Linked DNA regions of Oryctolagus cuniculus. The protein of the gene in region 3 interacts with the protein of the main gene of each other region in a biochemical or structural test. Links are inferred from orthologs where the notes say so. Each region holds a gene or a part of one and is shown on either strand. Other genes may lie near its edges.

Evidence for each region. The genes of interacting proteins can lie anywhere in the genome.
Region 1: of the proteins of PRKCA (region 3) and MGMT, one has a biochemical effect on the other in vitro, tested with the Homo sapiens proteins (2 studies listed by BioGRID). The link is inferred for Oryctolagus cuniculus from reciprocal best matches to the Homo sapiens genes PRKCA and MGMT.
Region 2: the proteins of PRKCA (region 3) and NHERF2 form a complex in vitro, tested with the Homo sapiens proteins (2 studies listed by BioGRID and IntAct, with this or other methods). The link is inferred for Oryctolagus cuniculus from reciprocal best matches to the Homo sapiens genes PRKCA and NHERF2.

Annotation. Positions count from the first base shown.
Region 1 is NC_091446.1:2,384,219-2,388,206, forward strand, and holds part of MGMT (methylated-DNA--protein-cysteine methyltransferase), read right to left. Parts: intron 477-3,988; coding exon 337-476; intron 1-336. UniProt on the Homo sapiens protein: Involved in the cellular defense against the biological effects of O6-methylguanine (O6-MeG) and O4-methylthymine (O4-MeT) in DNA. Repairs the methylated nucleobase in DNA by stoichiometrically transferring the methyl group to a cysteine residue in the enzyme.
Region 2 is NC_091450.1:33,190,101-33,193,656, forward strand, and holds the end of NHERF2 (Na(+)/H(+) exchange regulatory cofactor NHE-RF2), read right to left. Parts: intron 3,142-3,556; coding exon 2,962-3,141; intron 2,673-2,961; coding exon 2,519-2,672; intron 2,445-2,518; coding exon 2,401-2,444; intron 1,746-2,400; coding exon 1,587-1,745; 3' UTR 1,150-1,586; downstream 1-1,149. Other genes in the region: NTHL1 (endonuclease III-like protein 1), read left to right, coding at 26-1,149.
Region 3 is NC_091448.1:12,867,866-12,871,853, reverse strand, and holds part of PRKCA (protein kinase C alpha type), read right to left. Parts: intron 1,770-3,988; coding exon 1,613-1,769; intron 690-1,612; coding exon 555-689; intron 327-554; coding exon 230-326; intron 1-229. UniProt on the Homo sapiens protein: Calcium-activated, phospholipid- and diacylglycerol (DAG)-dependent serine/threonine-protein kinase that is involved in positive and negative regulation of cell proliferation, apoptosis, differentiation, migration and adhesion, tumorigenesis, cardiac hypertrophy, angiogenesis, platelet function and inflammation, by directly phosphorylating targets such as RAF1, BCL2, CSPG4, TNNT2/CTNT, or activating signaling cascade involving MAPK1/3 (ERK1/2) and RAP1GAP.

The DNA.
Region 1 (3,988 bases), on a different chromosome or scaffold from region 3:
CCCCTGGGGTGGGAGTGCCTCCTGGTCTGCTTTGCTCACATCCACCTGTGAGTGTGCGGGTGAATGAGTGAATGGACACAGGCCTCCATCCCGCCCCCTGGCTACGTCTCCAGGATTTGTTCATTTTTTTGGCCAGGAAGAAGACAAGGGGCTCTGGGGGCTGCGACTCACAGGAGGCGTGGGTTCCCAACAAATGCGCTGCCCACCCCCAGGCCCCAGCCACACAAGCTGCCTCTGCGACACCCGTCCTCAGCCCACGCCCCGCCCTCTGTGTGCAGGGGGGCGGCCACCCCGACTGCAGCCGGCCCACGCCACGGAGACAGTGAGGGGACTTACGGGATTGCTCCTCATGGCTCCTCCCACGGCCCGGGCAGCCTTGGGGTTGCCTGCCAGGGCTGCTAATTGCTGGTAAGAAACCACTTCTCCGAATTTCACAACCTTCAGCAGCTTCCACAACACCTGTCTGGTGAACGACTCTGGAAGGGAAAATGCAGAGTGACATGATTTGGACAAACAGCTCTAACAGCCCTGATGTAAATACAGCTGCCAGCCCCAAACAGAAGACGCAGGGACACAAATGGAGGTGTTACACTCAATTAAAACGCAGCCTCGCACACCGCCGCGCCATCGCCGACACCAGAGCCGGGAGCGCGAGCAGGCACCAGGCAGGCAGGCCCCCGGAGGCCGGCCCGACCTTGGCCACATCTGTCACCTGCCTTCCTCTTGCCCACGTTCCACGCAGGACGCGTGGGACACGCTTGCCCTCGGAGCGCATGTCTAAACTAGCACACGGAGCGGCTAACAAGCACAGAAGTGCCGCCTGTCTGCCTACTTGGGAACCTTTTGTCTTCGTTTGTTTCCAACTTCAGCTGGGACACAGAGGGGAGAGGCGGCCATGGCCCAGGCTATGGTATTACGCTGGTTGTCCAGACCCAGTGCCCCGTAGCTTCTGGTACGGGGGGTGGGGGTGACCTCAGCTGCAGCCATCTTTAACCATCAGGGATGCACACACGGAGTAATTATATTCCCATTTTCACCGACCACATCAGACCGCATCTGCTCTGCACCCCGCCGCAGGAGTGAACGATGGATACATGGCGGCTGTCTCTCTCTCTCCTCCCTCTCGCATTCTCTTTCTCTGCCTCTGGGTGTTAGAAGTGCTTCCTGAGTGTAGAGTCTGCAGCACACAAATGCAGGCACTCGCGTGCCCGTGTGAATCGAGACGCCTGTCTTTCCAGAAGGCTGCTGGACTCGGGAGCGGAGATGGAGCCCGTCCTTGCCCGTCCTGGGGCTCCGGTGCCTCCAGGGGTGGCACTTCTCAGTGGCAACAGAGGACAGGGCCCACAGGCAGGAACTGTGCTCCGTATCCACAGAGCACTAATTACACTTGTGCCAGGCTGGCAAAGTGCGATTTGGCTCTTAAAGGAAACACACCCTTACACGCGTGTTAAATAATAAAAATCCCTTCTTAACTGAAGGGAGCGATAATCACTTCACTGGGAAAAAAAATCTGTTTAGTCTTTATTATAACATTAAGCAAATTAAACATCAGCATAATCCAGGTGATACTAGAAAAGGGTCATCAAAGAAATTAACTTTGTTGTTCATTAATTTACATGGATTAGCAGAGGGCGAGAAGGCAGCAAGTGTGCTCCACTTTTTTATGATATAATTTCAAACTGTACACCATTTGTGGCAGGAGGGTGACTTTGGGGTTAATCAGACTGATTTGTCCTTTTAATTGCTTTCTATTCAAAGAAAATTCATTAGATAATGTTCTCTTCAAAATTCATGAATCAATTTAACTGAAGAAACCACATTAACAGCTCTGGGTTCATTAGCACACGCGGTTGTGTCAGCGTGGAGCGCTGCAGGGACTTCCGTAGGCACAGACTCTGTTTACTGCCGCTGCTCCAGAACGGGGCTCGAAATCAGACTGCTAATGGGGCTTGTGTCGTCGCTGCTACTCGGCCTGACTTCGAAGAGGCAAAGCCGAGCCAGGCAGCCTGGTGTCGACGGCGGGAAAGGCTTCGGGGCCAGCTGTCCTGGAAGACACAATGCAAGCTGCGCTGTCCACACGGCAAGAGGCAGGTCGACTTCCTGCCTCGGGCACAGACCAAGAGCTCTGACCCAGGGAGGGCTGCTTCCAGGTAACCCGGGAGAACAGCCTGGGACGGCGCTGAGGCCGCGGGAGGGAAATGAAGGAGTGCAGACCTATCTGGAGCACGGAGCGGATCTGAAAAGCAATGGCGCCGTTCCAGTGCTGTCCTCTGGGCCAGCCCCGCGCGTGGCTCTGACAATGACCACTAAATACTGGCCCCTTTCTCTCCAAGAATTAACGTGTCACGTAATGAGACAAGAGCCTGTGCTCTGTCTCTGAGCACAGTTTATCAGACAAGGCTGGCTTCCCAGGCAGGAATGCGTAGGGAACCGTCTCATCACAGGGTGCACCAGGCAATACCTTAGAGCAAGGACAACCTGCAGAATGTGGAGTGTCGCCATCAAGCTCATGTCACTAATGCACCTGAGAACTCAGTTTCACGCTGTGGGGAGCAGGCCTCTTCGCTACTTTCAGCACCTCTCAGACATGGCGCTTTGCCTCTAGCCCGTGCACAGCCGGCTGGGGCGCCGCGCCCGCCTCTGAGGTCAGTCTAACCTCGGGGAAATCTGCTCACACAAGCAGCAAGGACGCAGAAATGGTAGCTTCTGGGGTTTAGGTGACCACGTGACTCCTCAGCTGGCCCGAAGGACCACTGCTGCCACCCCCTTCCCCATCTCGGTCCTGCCCCAAGAGCTGGCTGGCCCTGCAGGGCTGGGTGAAGCGGCCCCTGCGTGCCCATTCTGGATGCTCCTTTCCCTCCGCCCCTCCTCTTCTTTCTAACCTCTTCCTTTCTCCGGCCTGTTCCGGGGCCTTGGGCACCACGTGCCCCGTCGCGGAGGTCCAGGCTGATTCTGCTGGTGGCTGGACAGCTTAGCGTTCCCGCATCTTAAGGACGTGGCTGTTTGCATTTCGGCTTAGGTGGCTACTTAAGCACCCACTTGACACCTTCTCGTGTGGAGATGACGGTTTCTAAGTGCTCCTCCGCCTGCCCATGAGACGCCGTTGCCCGCTGCGGCTGGCTGTGGGGAAGCCATCTGTGTCCCGACGCCAGGCTTTCCCGCCAGGCCTCTGCACGCCAAGCTGTGAGCGGTGGTCAGGCATGGGAGGCGACCAGGCCGTCTGCACTCACATGTGTGGACTAAGTTGGCCAAGATGGCTCTGATGAAGGGGGATGTCACACGCCAGGGCAGGGCAGGTGGAGACAGGCAGGGGCCAGCTTGGCTCTGCACCTCCGATCTTAGGTGAGGTACTTCTTTCTCCTGGTCTCATCCTGACAGCCACCTTAATACACATGCCCTGCGCACAGCTGGGCTCAGAGAGCAGCCAGGGATCTGCCGGGCCGGCTGGGGCCGGCTGTCTCAGATCAGCCCCGTGACTGCCCCGGGTGGCAGAGCTGGGCACCTCCAAGTCCTGGGGGAGAACCTTCCTTCCCCTCGTCACAGCTGCTCCTGTGGAGGGGTGTGGTCTCCCGAGGGAGAGGCTGGGGTCCACCAGCTCATGCCTGGGTGTCGCTCCCCCTCTTCGTGGAGGAACGACACAGGACCCTGCCCTGTTCTTTCGTCTGCTCGGCCCTCCCCGGGTTTGCTGATGGTTCTTCCCGGGTTGGCTACTGTCCCTTCCACCTCCGTGGAAGGGCGGTTCCCCCTGCCACTTTCCCCACTTCTGCAGGGGAGTGGCACACCGCCGGCCGGCTCTCTCGGGGGCTGCACAGGTGTTCCTTCAGATAGATGTTCCCCTTAGATGTTCCTGGTGCATGTTGTCTCTCTCCTCCTTTATAGTCCTCTTCCACCAATCCCAACTCTCCTACCCACACGCTGAGTACGCTGCTCTCCTCCAATCAGGAGCAGGATCAGCTCCTGGAGGTCATCACTCAAGTTGGCGAGAGGC
Region 2 (3,556 bases), on a different chromosome or scaffold from region 3:
GCTCACCCAGCTTTTGTCTCCGTAGAGAGCTGTGGAGTGAGATCAACGGGCTGCTGGTGGGCTTCGGCCAGCAGACCTGCCTGCCCGTCCACCCCCGCTGCCAGTCCTGCCTCAACCAGACCCTGTGCCCGGCTGCCCGGGGCCGCGTGTGAAGTGCCTTCGCCTGGGAGCCACCGCCTGTTTAATAAAGCGTGGGGGTTGTTTGTATCTGGGGCCTGGCGACTTCTGTCTGCAGGGCCAGGAGCCGTGTGTGCACGTGTCACGTGGACGCACCCGTGTCCGGAGGGGGTAGCCATGGAGGCCAGGGTGGGGACAGGACGGCCCGCGCTGAGTCTGCAGTGGGCAGGGAGTGCGGGCAGAGAACCTGCAGGGAGGAAATGGGGGGAGGCAGCCTCTGGGCCACTGGCTGGGGATCTGAACCCCTGGCTCTCCCCTCCCACCGCGGGGGCTGCAGCCCAGCAACCTCTCAGCCCTAAGACTTCCCGGACCCCCACCCCCACGTTTCCAAAGTGGCATCGTGGCCTCGCTGGGCCCACCTGGAGGCTGGACTCCCCCGGAGGGTGCGGCCAGGAGGAGAGGGGACCTGGTTCCCCGAAGCCCCACACACAGCCGCCCCAGCCAGGCTGCCCCCAGGAATGGCTCCGTTCCTCCACGCCCCGCCCCCTGCTGAAGGCACACACAGGACGGTGGCAGGTCCAAGGCAGGCCTGTTTATTCCGAGGGCGCGCATGCGCTATGGCTTACAAGGCAGACAGCAGTGCTGGTCGGTCGGTTCGGGGGTTCAGGGGTGGGAGGACAGGCAGAGGCATCTGCCACTCTGCAGCGGTGGGTGCCAGGCAGGCACGAGGCAGGGCCCAGGGCTCGGGGAGGGGTGGGCGACTGGCGTGCCCCCGTGCCCAGGCCTGGGAGCTGTGGGAGCTGCGGAGCAAGACGAAGGGCCTGTCCAGAGGCTGCTCCGCGGGAGAGGGGATCCTCCAGCCTGGGCCCCAGGCCTAGCGACGGCCCCCACCAGGGAGCGCAGGGTTGGGGCAGAGGGGCGGCTCCCCCGGCTGGCTGTGTCCGGGAAGCCCCCAGGACTCTGGAAGGCCTGCCGAGGGGGTGGGGAGGAACTGGTTTGCAGAGAAAGGTTTGTTTTATTGCAATTATTTAGAGAGCCTGTCCCGAGGGAGCGGGGGAGGGGGCTCTGGTATTAAGTGGAAACATGTGTGCAGCTGAAGATCTTTTTGGGAAAAAAAAAGCAAAAACGCAAATTCCTTTCAGTCAGCAGGCCTGGGCCCACAGCAAAGGCCCTGGCCCCGTGGGCCGTGCCCTGCCCCCATACCAAACCCCTCTCTCTCTCTCTCTCTCTCTCTCTCTCTCTCTCTCTCTCTCGGTCTCTGCGTTATCTTTCTGGGTCCCGGCCTCTCTGGGTCTCTCCCCACCCAACTAGGAGCAGCTGCCTGGTCCCCAGCACCCAGTGGGTGGGAGGGGCGGGGTGAGGGCTCACGGGGGCACGGTTGGTTTCTGGGTGGCGGTGGGCCCACCCCCCAGTCCACTGAGGCGTGGGGCACTCGGCAGGCCCAGGTCCGGTGAGCAGGCGGTGGGGGCTCAGAAGTTGCTGAAGATCTCACGCTTCCGGTTCCAGTCCATCTGCGGTGCCCGCTTGTTGACGCGCGTGGCTCGCGCCTTCTCCTTGGCCTCAGCCGCCGTGGGGCTCAGGTGCAGGCCGCTCTCCTGGAAGGGGTCTCGCTTCCACGCACTGGCATCCTGGGGTGGGCAGGAAGCAAAAGTGAACCCTCGACCGCGCCGGCTGGGGACACCGGTGGGGCGGGGCCGGAGGTGGTGGCCCCCGCTGCCCAAGGCCTCCGGCCCCCCGTGTGTGTGAGCACCACAGTGGAGCCGGGAGGGCGTCTGGTTCCCTCGGTGTCCTTGTCTGAGCCGGGCAGGCTGCTTCCGGAGGAGCGTACAGAACCCCCATTGAGCTAGGAAACCAAGGGCAGGCTGTGCTCCGGGTTCCCACCTGGGGAGCCGCAGGTGCACACAGACGCTCCCACGCACACCACAGCTGCATCTGCCGCTCCTCTCAGCCACGGGCACCACGGCTCTGCTACTCTGCGGGCCCAGCCGGGCAGGACACGGGGTGCCCAGCAGTGCCCAGACAGCTGGCCGGCCCTGGGGAGCCTGGCATCCTGACCTGGGGCACTCAACAGCCAGGGAGTGCCGGTGGGGTAGGAGACAGGGCAGGGGCACCAGGACCCCAGGCCTCTGCCCACCGTGTGTGGCCCAGAATAGCATTAAAGCTGGGCCTGACAGACGGATGGGTCAGAGCTCGGTCTCACGCCCACCCCCATCCAAGGACAGAGACTGCCGGGGAGAGGACCCCCAGAGGTGCCCCTGCGGCCTCGTGGGCCCAGCCTCTCACCTGGGCAGGGCTGGTCCCATTGGTGATTGGTGATGGCAGTGGACCTGTGGGGACAGCATGTCTGTGGCTGCTCTGGCCCCCACACACGCCCCTCCCCGTGCCCGGGGCCGCCGCCCACCTTCCACGTGCTCCTCGGTGGGCGTGACCCGCAGCCGCTTGAAGTACTCGTCCGTCTCGGGGTCCACCAGCAGCAGCCGGGCCTCGTCCTCCTTGGCCTTGATCCTGGCCACCACCTCGGCGTGGCGCAGCCCCTCCACATTCTGCCCGTTCACCTGCCGCCAGCATCCCCACAGGTCAGCAGCCCGAGGGGCCCAGCCAGCCCCCACGTGGCCCCGCCAGGTGTGGCATCAAATATTCATCAAAGCCACCACCAGCCAAGGCCTGGAGAGGAGCGGGCGCCCGCTCAGGTTCCCGGCAGCTCCCTCCAGCAGGGGCCCGGGGCCGGACACAGACAAGGGCACCGATACCCTCCCTCACAGGGCTGAGGGCAAATCCCTGCAGACACACGCGGGGAGGCACACACACGGGCACCCGGCACCCCAAAGCCTCTGGGCTTCGTACCTCAATGAGCCGATCCTGGGCGCAGAGCCCGGAGTGGGCGGCCGGAGAGCCGGGGTCCACGGAGCGGATGTATTGGCCGGGCCGGGACTTGTCACTGTGCAGGTTGAACCCGTAGCCCTGGGGTCCCTTTCGCAGGTGGCAGAGCCTAGGACGCAGCTCCCTTGGGGGCCCGTTGACGTCCTGCACGTGCAGGGGACGCTGGCTCAGGCTCTGCCGCCAGCCTGCCTGGGCCACACACTCACTGTAGTGCCTCCGGCGGCCGCAGGGGAGGGGACGGCTCCTGCTGAGGCTGCCTGTGACGGAGCCCCCACGTCCAGTCCTGCTTCACGGGGGCCTCGGGGCTCCGTGCACACAGGCCGGGCGTGGCACGGGCCGGGCGTGTGAGACCAGCCGCTGACCTGCCTCCCTTCACAGCTCCTGGGGCGCCGGGCCCCAGGTCCACCTGTGCACTCCCCTCCTGCCGCCCCTACGCCCCACACCTCTGCCCCGTGTCAGCGTTCAGATCCCAGGCAATCTGCAGCCCCGCCGACCCCGTTCCAGGGGACCCGAGAGAAAGGGCTGGGCCGGACGGAGATCAGGGCCTGGCTCCCCCCCG
Region 3 (3,988 bases):
CACCTCATTTCCAATCCCCATTCTCTAAGTGATAATCGACACAGAGTGTCGACGGCTTGCACAGGGAAGTGATTACAGGCAACGTCTGTGTTTTTAAATAAAGAACAAAATTAACATTTAAATTACTTTTTGCCTTTCCACAGTGTACCCACGGCAACTTGGCCCCTGCAGAAGCTCTGCTTCATAAAGGCAAGGGAAGGTGTCGCGGCCTCTTTGTGGGTGGCCTCACCTCGAATTTCTGCCTGAGCTCCACGTTCCCATCTTCGTCCCCTTCCGGAATGGGCACATTGTAGTATTCACCTTCTTCTTGGTTCAGCAACTTGTACCTTTCAAAGACACAGGGGAGAAGGCAGTTAGGGGTGCTGTGACCACACCACTGCGGGTTCCCAAGCCTCCCACAACCCCAGTGGAGCTGCCTCGTGGCACGCATCCCGGGGAGAGTCCACAGCTGGCATCTGGACACTCATCAGGCAGTGCAAAGGACCTGCACGGCTTGGTCCAAGTCTCCAGATGGCTACCGTGCGGGACACCCTCAGCCTCAGGGGCTTCCTCACCATCCACTGGCTGGCATCTTCATGAGCTCCGAGACGCCAAAGGAGAGCGACCCCATGAAGTCATTCCTTGTTGTTCGGTCCCAGTCCCAGATTTCTACAGACAGTCGTCGGTCTTTGTCGGAGGGTTTTAATTTGCTGCAAAACACACACACACACACACACACACACACACACACATTGGCATATCTTGATCAGTATTTCTATGACATGGCCGTGATCTAAGCCTGAGATAGACAGCCAGTGTATTCTATTCTCTTTCTGTGCCAACAAAAAACCAACCCCTTACAATGGCAAGCAAAGCTCTAGACCAGGCCTTTGCAAACCATGACCCATGGCCCAAATCTGGCCCACTGTCTGTTTTTATCAACTTTATTAGAATGCAGCCATGGCCTTGTGTTTACGTATTGGCTACCATTGCTCTGACATGGGGACCTCACTGTGGGTGTGCAATGGAGCCTGGATGGCTCACAAAGCCCATCCCGTACAGAGACCTGCTTCCCATGGGCCAGTCTACACCTGTGCCGTCCCACCCGACTCCTTCAGCCCTCCTGCCCCCTCTTCCATCTCTACCTCTGAAGTCCTGGCAAATCCCTCAATTCCCACTTTAAACACTGCTGCCTCCGGGAAGTCCTCCCCGATTGAAGGCGAGGATGCTCACTTCAATGCCATCGACAGCCTCTGTGTTGACTTACTTTGCTTTCTACCTTATTTAAGCTTGTGCCTCATGCCCTCCCCTAAGGAACCGAAGTTCATCAGGAGATAAGATGCACGTTGCGCACTTTTACATCAAGTGTAACAGCTCACATAGAATATTTCTGGGTACAGAACAGGCAATGATCATCACGTGGGGCCTGTAGAACACAGCTCCCGGCAGAGGAAGGCACTGTCTGTTCACAGGGGTGATGGCAGCCGTCTGCCGGTGGCAGCCTGAGACAGCGCCAGGAAGGAAGGCAGCGTTACGGCCTTCATGGGGAACGTGCCTCGCTACCTCTGGCCACGGGGTGGGCAGCTGCTCAGTGGGCGGCAACGAAACTCAATCAAGAGGAGAGACCACTTACAAGGTAAAGGATTCGTTCCACTGCGGGTTCAGTGTGGAGCGGATGGTTTTGGTTTTTTGTTTACTTTCATTCTTGGGATCAGGAATGAGTTTCAGCTTCACGTAGGGATCTGAAAGCCCGTTGGGATCCATGGGGATCAGGTTTTTTGCATCTCGTACTGTGAAGAGAGAGGGAAGACGACGTTACCCACCCGAGAAGCGCCCCACGTGGACCTGTGTCCTGCCATGGATCCCACGCTGGACAAAAGCGACCACGTCACGTTTGAAGGGAAGAGGAGGTGAGACTCAAAAGGTCTGACTCAGCGCGAGAGGAGCTGCCTGTCACCATCACTGGCAGTCACTGGGCACCGTGTGGGTCCTGGTGCTCCGGCCTGGGCACCTGGCACCGCCTGACACTCAGGCACCCCCCAAACCTGCTGAAGTAGAACTCGCATTTCACAGGGGTCCCAGGTGACTCTGCGGCTCTCTGGGAGCAACACTACCCTCCCCCCGTCCGACCTGGGCCACGGAGCTGCACCCACACTGGAACTTCTAGAAAGTGCTCTTTGTAAAGGCTGGTGGTTTCCAACCCCAGCTGTACACTGGAATCACTCGGGGTAGAGGGTGTGAGATGCTCCAGTGATCAGAATTAAATCAGAGTGTTTTGAGGGAAGTGACCCAAGTACTGGGTTTTGAAAGTTCCCCGGGTGATTCGCTGTGCAGCAGTGGGCAGGAACCACTGGCATAGGCAGCTGAGATTGACAGTGGGTAGGTAGGCCCATGGTCTGGCCACCACCTGGCAGCCTGGTAGACACGCAGAACCTTGGCCCCACCTCAAAGGTACAACCTAACTCAGAGTTCTCTTTCTTAACAAGACGCCCAGACAACTCCAATGCACGTTTTAGCCTGAGAAGCACTAACATGGGAAACAAGAAGGCCATTTCACGGCCCAGGGAGGAGGCACAGAGAGGGGCTGGCAGGGGCTGATGACAGTGGGCGTGGCGGTCGGAAGCCAGGGTACATCAGTGTGACGGGTACGCTGATGCATATCTACCTGAGCCCAGGGCTAAGGAGATGCTAGCCCCAGACAGAATCTTTCTTGGTGTCACAACCAAGATTGAGAGAAAATAGAAAAGGGGAGAGCTTTCTCACCATGTAAATTAATGCTTTTTCATATCAGTTCATGGGGCCAATGCTGTGGCTTAGTAGGCTAAGCCTCTGCCTGTGGTGCCAGCATCCCATGTGGGCACCAGTTTGTGTCCTGTCTGCTCCTCTTCCAATCCAGTTCTCTGCTAATGGTTTGGGAAAGCAATGGAAAATGGTCCAAGTTCTTGGGCCCCCCTGCCTGTGTGGGAGACCCAGAAGAAGCTCCTGGCTCCTGGCTTCGGATTGGCTCAGCTCCAGCCATTGTGGCCATTTGAGGAATGAACCAGCAGATGGGAGACTTTTCTGTCTCACCCTCTCTCTCTCTGTGACTCTACCTCTCAAATTCAAACATCTTAAAAAAAATATCAGAACAGTGGGTTCAGAGACCACTGCCAAGTGAGACCAACACTCACATCCCCCAGCGGCCCTGTCGTAGGCGTGGGACACACCACTGGAGCGAGGACCAGTTCTGGAGCCGAGACAGATGTGGAAAACCCCAGAGCCCAGGAGCACCGTAGGCCCAGGCATCACTGGGGCACAGACCCTGCAGCTCATTTCTTGTCTCTCACTTTCTACAAGAACCAGATTGTAGACTGAATTAGGATAGGGGGAAAAATCATGCTACTTTGACCAACTATTGCGAATGAGACTTTTAAAAAAAAAATCTAACAGGCCCACTGAGGGTCCCAGAGGTGGACAGTCTAAACCTCGCCAAAGAGAAACAAGACATTTGCCTTGCGGGCTCAGTCACAGCGGCGCCGACCTCGGGACACAGTGACAGTGAGGTCCCCTCGCATCTCGTCAGCAGTTATGCATCTGGATGTGAAACGATGGCTGCTGCAGCAACGCATCTGTGCCGTGAAACCGGCCACTTCGGAGCGGAAGGTCTATTTTGTGATGCCAGGACTTTAATACAGAAACACAGAATACTAATTATACGCCCATCGCTTGGCTTGAGATGGGTACTCTGCAATTTCTCAGCTGCTAGGCCTAGCACTAAGGAAAACCAGCCCAGGTTAGAGGGTTATATACTTTCCTGCTAACGTAAGGTGTTATTTCTGCATAAAACCCATTCAAGTAAAATTATGAAGCTTGAGACACGGCCACCCAGAGACACCGACACAGGCAGGTGGCTGGGTAAGCCCAGGACACGTGCGGCTCGAATCAGTGTCTATAATCAGATGGGTCTATAGGCACAGGTGCCGTCTCATCAGCTCAGAGGCTCGGGCAGCCTCAGCCGGGCTGGGGACTC